2 linked regions of the Canis lupus familiaris genome follow. The protein of the gene in region 2 interacts with the protein of the main gene of each other region in a pairwise test. Links are inferred from orthologs where the notes say so. Each region holds a gene or a part of one and is shown on either strand. Other genes may lie near its edges.

The links.
Region 1: the proteins of LMO1 (region 2) and PTPN3 interact in binary tests that used the Homo sapiens proteins (3 or more experiments, as listed by UniProt). The two-hybrid records come from large-scale screens. The link is inferred for Canis lupus familiaris from reciprocal best matches to the Homo sapiens genes LMO1 and PTPN3.

Annotation. Positions count from the first base shown.
Region 1 is NC_049232.1:64,876,487-64,880,703, reverse strand, and holds part of PTPN3 (tyrosine-protein phosphatase non-receptor type 3), read left to right. Parts: intron 1-551; coding exon 552-608; intron 609-1,643; coding exon 1,644-1,800; intron 1,801-3,422; coding exon 3,423-3,583; intron 3,584-4,217.
Region 2 is NC_049242.1:32,368,076-32,372,865, reverse strand, and holds the start of LMO1 (rhombotin-1), read left to right. Parts: upstream 1-1,722; 5' UTR 1,723-1,807; coding exon of another isoform or gene 1,808-1,829; intron 1,830-2,298; exon of another isoform or gene 2,299-2,916; intron 2,917-4,790. UniProt on the Homo sapiens protein: May be involved in gene regulation within neural lineage cells potentially by direct DNA binding or by binding to other transcription factors.

The sequences.
Region 1 (4,217 bases), on a different chromosome or scaffold from region 2:
TCTGTGGCTCTCTTGGCCTCGTGGTGGCAGAGGTCAGTAGTTGCACCAGAGCCCTCACTCCCTTACCTAAAATGTTGGGTACCCTCAGGCCCTTTACAAAGTTAGAGCAGAATGAGGGCAGGTGGTCTCCGCTGCCACCACGGAGTCCCTGTGCTGTACCCAGCCCCGTGCTGGGAACCTGCCCTCAGGCATGTGACGACTTCCTACAGCTTCTCTCTCCAATGATGCTGGAAACTCCCTTCCCAGCAGTACTTCTAGGCTGTGCTTTTAGAGTCCTCTAAGCACGTTTGCATTTTTAAAAAGAACGTTGACCCCTCCGAGCTCATCTTTAGTTCATGGAATCGTAGGGGTGGCAGTGAGAGGCTTCTGGTTATCCCACTAGACCCCAAGGAGTCAGGAAACTTGTAATTCTGAAAGGATTCCCTGGGCTTAGAATAGGGTAAAGTGGAATTTGAACCCTCCATGTGTCAGCAGTATCTGCATGTCTTTGTTGCTATGAGCTATTCAAGTGTTTCTGTTGTTTTTTTTTTTTTAATTTAACATGTTTATAGGGAGGAGTGGATCAAAAGATGCCTCTTGTGGTATCAAGGATAAACCCAGAGTCACCTGTAAGTGAACATATTTCGTTCTCGCCTACGTTTGTTTTCTATTAAATCTAACGTTCCTATTTCTGTGTCCTGTTTCTCTGCCAGCAACAAAGGGGGTGTGTAAATGCATGCATATAGATGGAAAGAAAGTGTGGAACCCATGTTTTTCCAGAACTTTGCTAGTCAGGGTAGCACCTGCATCACCTGGGAACTCATTAGAAATGCGGAATCTCAGGCCCCACCCTAGACCTCCCAAACCAGAGTCTGCATTTTTAACAAGATTCCTGAGTGATTGGTGTGCACTTTAACATTCAGAAGTACTCTCAAGAAAAGGAAACTGAGGCGCAGAGTGTGTTGCTCTGCTCACTCTGTGCACGTGCACCCACCGTCCCACCAGCAGCACCCTGCCCTCTGCGCTCCGTGTAGGCCTCCTCAGAGGATTTGCTTTTCTGGAGCAGATGAGCAGCCAAGAGTCACTCACTGCGTCTCCTAAGGAGGAACTAGTTCGGGGGTTTTACTCGTAAGTGGTCCTTCAGCACGTAGTTTGCTTTCTCCTACTGCTTATGGCCCCACAGGTCAGGAGGGCTTCCATTCCTACACTGTTCAGTGCACTCTTCTCTCCGTGCTGGCTTCTGCCTTTGGGGTTATTTATGCTGACAGAGGCTTTCTCCACCGCAAGATAGACAAACGCTCACGTTCGGCTGACAAGCCATTTTCTAGCAGCACATCGAGAAAACAAAAGATCAGAAGCCTCGCGGTGACGACATTACAGTAATAGGTGAAGGTTGGCTCTCGTAGAGAAATGGCTTCAGTACGTTGCGTAGCTTTATTCCGAAATGCCGCATGACTTAGGTCGTGAGCAGCACTTCTTTAGACTCCCACAACCAGCGACCACGTCCGCGTAGCAGCGGATGTAAAAATAATGGCCCGGCCGCCCCCGAGGGAGACCAGAACCCGCACCTGGTCTCAGGTGTCTGGGCTCCGAGAGCGCCCGCGTCCTGCCCTTGAGGATTGTGTTATGGTAACCGAAGAAACTCGCTCTTCCTCTCCACCCAGGCGGACACCTGCATTCCTAAGCTGAACGAAGGGGATCAAATCGTCTTAATCAATGGCCGGGACATCTCAGAGCACACCCATGACCAGGTGGTGATGTTCATCAAAGCCAGCCGGGAGTCCCACACGCGGGAGCTGGCCCTGGTGATCCGGAGGAAAGGTAACAGCCACCGCAGGGGAGGAGCCACGGGGCCTCAGGGAAGCAGGGCCCTCTCTGGCCCATTCCGTGGTTTTGAAAATGTTGAGCTCGTAGCCAGCACTGGAAAATGGAGACCTTTCGCCTGACAACCAGGATGTGGGACTTCTCACTTGAAAAATGTGAAGATGCGCCCACGCGGGGCCCAGCCCCTCAGGGCCAGTGCTCTGGAGGTAGGCAGCACCTACCCACCCCCTCTAGCCAGGACACGAGCCCTGATTCCTCCCAGGCCCACTCCCCCCACATTACGCCCCTCCCTTCGCCGTCTGGCCCTGCACATGTTTGCTTTTTCAGCCCCTTCGTAAAGTGTTGGGTTCTGTTGACGTCGGTAAAGCAGAAGTGGGGCAGGAGCCTGGCTGTCCCCGGGGTGATCCTGCCTCCACCTCTGTTGGGTTGAGGGATCTCGAGCAAGTTTTTACCCAAGTATGTGCGTCGGTTCCCTCCGATGTAGAATAAGGGCACGATAACCACTCTGTCACAGGGTTCTAGCAAAGATGGAATGATGCTTATACTTGGAAAGCACCTAGAGTGCTTCCTGATACCTGGTGGGCATTTGAAGGATGGCCGCTGTTAAATACAATTATTTGTGTTGTTGTTGTTGTTGTAAAACAAGCCGAGTCCTTGGATCCTTCTGCCCAGGTTAAAAATACTGAAGGTAAATGTGTGTGTAACTCGAGGCCCTGCCACATCTCTGTTCTGGTTGCACAGGTGTACGTACAGCCCCCGGTCCCCCTCATACCTGCTTTCCCTCTGCTTCCATAAATCTCCAAGCCCAGAGCTGTGCTGCATGTGTGAGGCCTCACCAGATCTCTCCAGATCCCTTCCCGTGCCCCCCAAACCTTGATGCCACAGCCTCCCACCTGACAATGGCCTTGAGGTAGAGGTCGCCTGGGCTCTGTGGGACCATGTTGTTAATAGAAGGAGAGACAGGTGGGTGGAAGAGTAACCAGGTCAGAACAAAAGCAAAAAAAGTGAGGTCTCTTTAAAAACATTAAAATATACATATATATATATATATATATGTATATTTAATTTATTCATGAGAGAAACAGAGAGGGAGAGACACAGAGGGAGAAGCAGGCTCCCTGCAGGGAGCCCGATGCAGGACTTGATCCCAGGACCCCAGGATCACACCCTGAGCCAAAGGCAGACGCTCAACCACTGAGCCACCCAGTCACCCCACTTTAAAAGCATTCTTTCCAGGCACCTGGGTGGTTCAGTTGGTTGAGCCCACTTCTCCCTTTGCCCCTCCCCTGCTTGTGTTCTCTCTTGCTCTCGCTCTCAAAAAAAAAAAAAAAAAAAAAAAACTTTCCCTTTCTCTTACCTTTGTCAAAAGGCTCTAAGTACAAAACACCATCATTTAAGACTAACCAGAAAGATTAGTATGTCATTTTGTATAATTAGCACTTACTGAATCATTCAAGAAGTAGTGTCTTTGGTGAAAGTGATTACCATGAGCTTAATCGTTTAATAAGCTGTTTTAAACCATCTGCATTCAGGTGTCGTAAGTATAATTCTTTTTGAGGAAACCGATCAACCAGAACGTTTCTACCCCTGCCAGACACACTCTTTCTTGTTCACTACAGCTGTCCACTCATTCACTGACATCAAATCCGACGATGAGCTGAACCAGCTTTTCCCAGAGGCCATTTTCCCCATTTGCCCAGAGGGTGGGGATACCTTGGAGGGATCCATGGACCAGCTAAAGAAGGGCCTTGAAAGCGGGACGGTGCTGATCCAGTTTGAGGTAAGAGGCCACAAGGGCCATGTCCTGGGCCTGTGGGGAAGCCACAGCAGCCCAATGTCTCCGTGGGCTGCTCGGATGCTGCTGAGTGACCCAAGTCTCCAGGCAGCCTGTGCTCGTCATGGGAACACAGCAGGGGACTCAGAGCACAGGGCAGCAGAGCAGGCCCAGAACACCGGGAACGGGACCACAGCCTGGTGCTGAACTCAGCCTCACCCTCTTACCTAGTAATGCTCCGTAGCCATGGAGAAACGTGTCAGAAATTGAGGAGGAGGGACTCTGAGCGTATTTAGCTGCCAACACAAAAGCTCAGAATGCTCGGCAGTGGAAGGTGCTGGAGAGGCAGTGTGGGTGAGCCCCGGAGGGTGGCGGAGGAGCCAGCCAGTCCCTGACCCCACCAGACACCCTCTGTAGTTTGGAGCAGGTAGGTAGCATCATCCCATAAGGGCGGAGCAGCCGGCCTGCCCGGGTCCCCCAGAACCGTGTGAACGGAAGTAGAATCCAGAGGCAGACCCTGTCTTCCTTCTGCAGGAGGAACCTCTAGTCATAGAATTGAGCCTGTGACACAGCTCAGTTCAGGGCCCTCCCAGAACAAAGTGGGAACACAGGAGATTCGGTTTTTAAGTCCACGGATGGA
Region 2 (4,790 bases):
GTGTCCAGCGGCTTGTGCATGTTGGTGAGAATGAGGATTTGCCATCCCTGGGTGTGACACGGTTACATTCAATGCTAGTGGGAGATTGCGAGTAACGGATTTAGACGATCATTCTGAAGAGCACCTCTACACTCTCCTTTTCTTCACCAAATTGAGTATGATTCAGTCATTTCACAAACTTTTCCAGATACTGTGTGGGTCTGAGTGCAAGCACTGAGGAGGAGGGTAGGGAGAATCAGGATGAGCCTCCCCTTCCCACGACCTCCCCTCCCAGCCTTCTCTCCACCCCTCAGTCAGAATGTGTTTTGATAAGTGGTGGCTTGGGGACAGCATAAGGGTGACAAACTGAGCCCCCCCCACCAATTAAATTTTTTAAAAAGCTGCTATGGAAGGAGCGAATATTAGTTTCCTGATTTATAAAGCCAAATGGATTAAGCTCATTCATTGCCTGAGGAAACAAAAAGGAAATCTTCAATACCTCTGTGCACATTGAGAACAGGAACAATACTGGTCTTTAGAAAGCAGAAACCTAATTTGGGGGAATCAATTACCCTCTGTGTCCCTGCCTCTGTGGGCTCTCATACTCGCTCGCTCTCAATAGAGATTTCCTGGGAGGTAAAACGTGAAGTTGGTCAACCACAGACACACCCTCGGCTCAGCCTCGCAGACGGGAGGGGAGAACTAGGCAAAGGGCGGGTGGAGTTGGGTGGGGGCGTGCCTGGGTGGCAGGCACCTGTGGAAATAGGGATAGAGGTAGGGGTGGGGAGGGCTGTGGGATAAAAGCAGGGGTGGAGTGAGTTGGGGTGGGAGGCTGAACCGAGATGCGTCAAGGAAGGGGACCATGGCAACCTGAGGTTTTAAAGAGGGGGTGGGCTGGGGGGGCGCGGTGGTGGCCGGAGGGGCGGGGTGGGGGGGAAGGACAGCCCGAACTGCAGAAACACCACCCACCACTTCCTGATCGCACGTTTCTGTGTTCTGCGCGTGCCCCCGTGTCTTGACTGTGCAGCGGACAATGCTGGGGCAGTTACGCAAACAGGAAGGGCAGGGGCGCCCGCCGCAGCAGCCACGGGGCCACGTTCACGAAGTCACGCGCAGCAGCACTCAGGACCCCACGGTCCCCGCGCTGGGTGTCAAACCCCGGCCCGCAGCACCCCGTCCCCGCCCCCCGCATGCGGTCACGCGCGCACGCACACACGCCCGCACTGCTCACACGCACTCTGGCTGTGCTTTTGTGTTTTGTCAGAATTAATGAGAAAAGTTCCCGTGCCCTGCGGGTAATTAGTGTCCTTGGAGTTAAATAAGCTAATGGCGGGCACCTCTGGCCCAGGCAATTATGTTTGTGTATTGAATAATTGATTCAAAGGGGGGAAGGGCCGCTAATCAGATCTGAGCATAATGAATTGATTTAATTAACAGGGGAACTGAGGGGCCCTGGGAAACGCAGGCTGCACTCGGCAGAGGCCAGCGCGGCCCGCGCGGACGGAGAACCGCGCGCGGCGGCTCCGGCGGCTCCGGCGGCTCCCGCGGCTCCGGCTCCGGCTCCCGCGACCCCGCGGCGGACGGACGCGCCCCCGCCCCCCCCCCCCCCAGCGCTCCCTGCCCGCGGGGCTCAGCTGCCCGCGCCGCTCCGCCCGCTCCCGCCCCCGCCCCCGGCCCCGGCCCCGGCCCCGGCCGGAGCGCGGAGCCCGGAGCCCGGAGCCCGCGCGGGGCCGGCGGGAGCGGCGCAGGCCGGCGGGCGGCGGCGGAGTCCGAGCCGCGCGCCCCTCCGCGTCCTCGGCCGGTGCGGGGCTGGCGCCTCCGGGGAGCCATGGTGCTGGAGCAGGAGGACGGTAGGTGCAGCGGCGCGGGCGGGCCGCGGCCGTTCCCCGGAAGCGCGGCGCCTGGGGGGGGGGGGGGGGAGCCAGGCTGCGCCGCAGGGCCGGTCGGCGGCGCGGGAAGTCCCCGGGCGGCCGCGAGCCCGCCGGCCCCGCACGCCCCGGCCGGGAACTTTCTCTCCGGTCCCGCCGTCCCGCAGACCCCCGGGCCCGTCTGCGACCCGCGCCGCGGCTTCCCGCAGTGCCCGCAGCCCCCGGCTTCCCGGCCCCCGCCGCCCCCGCTGCGGACCGGCTCCCCCAGGGGGGTCCCCAGGGCACCTGCAGGCAAACCGGCCCGGCCCCGGGGGCCCTCGGATCGGGAACTTCGTAGCTGCGGGGTGGGTGACATTGCTTCACCCCTGGAAGGTTCCCCCAGCCGAGCGCGTCGGGAGGTGCCCTGCGGGCTAGGGTCGGGCGGCGCTCAGGATACCAGGGGCGGGTTTACCTTGAAGCTGATGAAGTTTAAGCTTCATAGTCCTTCCGTGGTCACTTTGTGTTAGCAGCCGTGTATTCCTTTTCTCAAGAAGAGCACCCCCCCCCCAGCCCCTATATTGCATGAGTAAGCTTGACTCCCCCAAAAAATCTGAATCCACCCCTGAGTCCAACTCACAGCTTTCCCATGTAACTACCAAGGCTTGGAGAACATACAGCCAGGCTGCCCCATGGGACCATCCCCAGGGGACGGCAGTTCCTTAGCGCCTGGGGGATGAAGCCCTGGTGCTGGAGGCTGGGAGAATTTGAGGCTGGGAGGCAGCTGCTGGTGTACAGGGAAGGGCCCGGCTGCCTGACCTTTCTCTCTGGCCCCGCTGGTCCCTTGTCCCAGCCTACCATCTCCCACTGTGGTCATCAGCTGTCCTGGTTTGCCCAGAACCATCCCGTTTTAGCACAGAAAGCCCTGCCTCCTGGGAAACCCCTGAGTGCTGGGACAAACCAAGACAGTTGGTCAGCCTACATCCACAACCTTCTCAGAGCTGTTGTGCAGGGGGTGGATTGGCCTTCATCAGGAGGGTGGGAGAGACTTGCTTTCTGGGGTGCAGATTTGGCCTTGGCCTCCACCAGGTCTAACAGTGCAGCTTCCTAGAAGGGCTTCCAGAAACCAAAGGAGGAAAGTTTGTCAACTGTGTACTTCTCCACTCTAGCTGATTGCCAATTCCTGTGTTTAGGCTGCCTTTGTGTTGTTAGTAGGGGGCAGGGCAGGACATCTGAACTTGGCCAGCAGACATCCGGATTGCACTGCAAAATCTGTAGGGTCACTCTGTCCTTTCAGCTGTGGCTGCCACAGGGAAGGGGCCCTTGTCAGTCCAAATACCTCTTGAGTGTCACCTGTGAAGCCAGCTTGTAACCCCATCTTGGAGACAGCTGTACTGTGTTGGAAGCAGGGCCCTCAGGCTGAGGCACATCTGACAGCCACCACTGTTCTGGAATATCTGGTCTGCCTGGGCCCTGGGGCAGAGAGTCTCCTTCCCCTACACACACCTCCCAAACCCAGTGCAAGAACCCTTCATCAGGACTTTCCTGCCAGGTGCAGCGACAAACTGCTAGGACCTGCCCAGAACTTTGAAAGGCAGCTGGTAGCACCTCCTTTCTCCTCACCATGACCTGGGGGCTGATCAGCTGGTCTCCCTCTGCTGTCCCCAGAGGCATTTCAAGGACATTCTGGGGCACTCTTGGCAATGTTGACTTGAGGGTACGTGCATGCTCATTGCCCATGAACTGTGTTGGGTGCAAACTACCTCTCCTAGCCCCAGGGGATCCTGGACCTGGAGGCAGCTTGGGTGGGGGCCCCAGGCACAGGACTTACCTGCCTGCCCAGCAATTCCCCATGAGCTGAGAGGGTGGATGCTGGATGGGATGCTGAATGCTTGTGTCTAGCTCTGTCCACCTGGCAGGCCCCTTCCAAGCTAAGAGCTCAAGTCACTTAAACGTTTCAAGGCTTGCTGTGTAGCTCTGTCAAGTGGAAGGCCTCTGTGGAGGCCTTTTTCCAGATCACTGTGGGAGCTCAGTGCTCACAACTGGGGGTACAGAGAGCTGCCTATGAACACAAGCAGCCCTTCACACACAGCTGTGATCTGCTGACATACACTACCTGGTTCTTTAGCCCACGGCTCAGCACCCCAGGCCTACTCCAGTCCCTGAAGTGGGGCACAGGGTCCCTGACTCCCTAGAGGGATGCCAGTTGGGTGGCTGCTAATTGGTATCTTGGAGACTGGGGGGAGCTGCTGTAGGGACAGAGCCCCAAGCCCGACACATGAAGAAGAGAGTGGACAAGTGCCTTCAGCTAGTCAAGTCCCAGTTTGTGGGTCAGGGCCAGAGCCTTGAAAGAGAGGAGAAGCCGCCCTGGAACTGGAGAGTAAAGCCACAGGCCTTGTTGAGCGAATGCCTTCCGGGAGCACAGAGGCATCTACAGCAAGAAGCTACCCCTTGCCAGCCTGTCAGCCGATTGCCTGTGACATTGTCTGGCCCCCCAGCTCAGGCTGGGGTGAGGGGTTGGTACCAAACGTGCCAATGGCAACAGTGTCAAAGCCTCCCTCAGACCCTCGGGGTATAGTCTGGCTGCAGTGGCAGGGGAGAGATCAAGCTCGCAGTCCTGAGGGACAGTGAGGCTGAGCAAAATGATATATTTAACATCAAATATACTCAAGGACTATTAGGATTAAGTATTCAAGATGAAGGGGAAAGCGAAACCCTCTGAGCTGCGGATGAGGCATCTCATTAGAAGCAGCCTCTCTTCTGTTTTCTTAAAGCCTGACTTCCCCGCTTAGGCTAGAGGAAGATGGGCTGCAGCCCCACTCCCCCATTCCTACTCCTGTCAGGCACCCTGCATTGGGGCCTCCCGGGGCTTACCGGGCACAGCCTGGCCTCCAGGTCTCATTTATACTCAGTAAGTTCCCCCCATCGTTGGATGCCATGGTTTACAAGGCACATTCACGTACACTA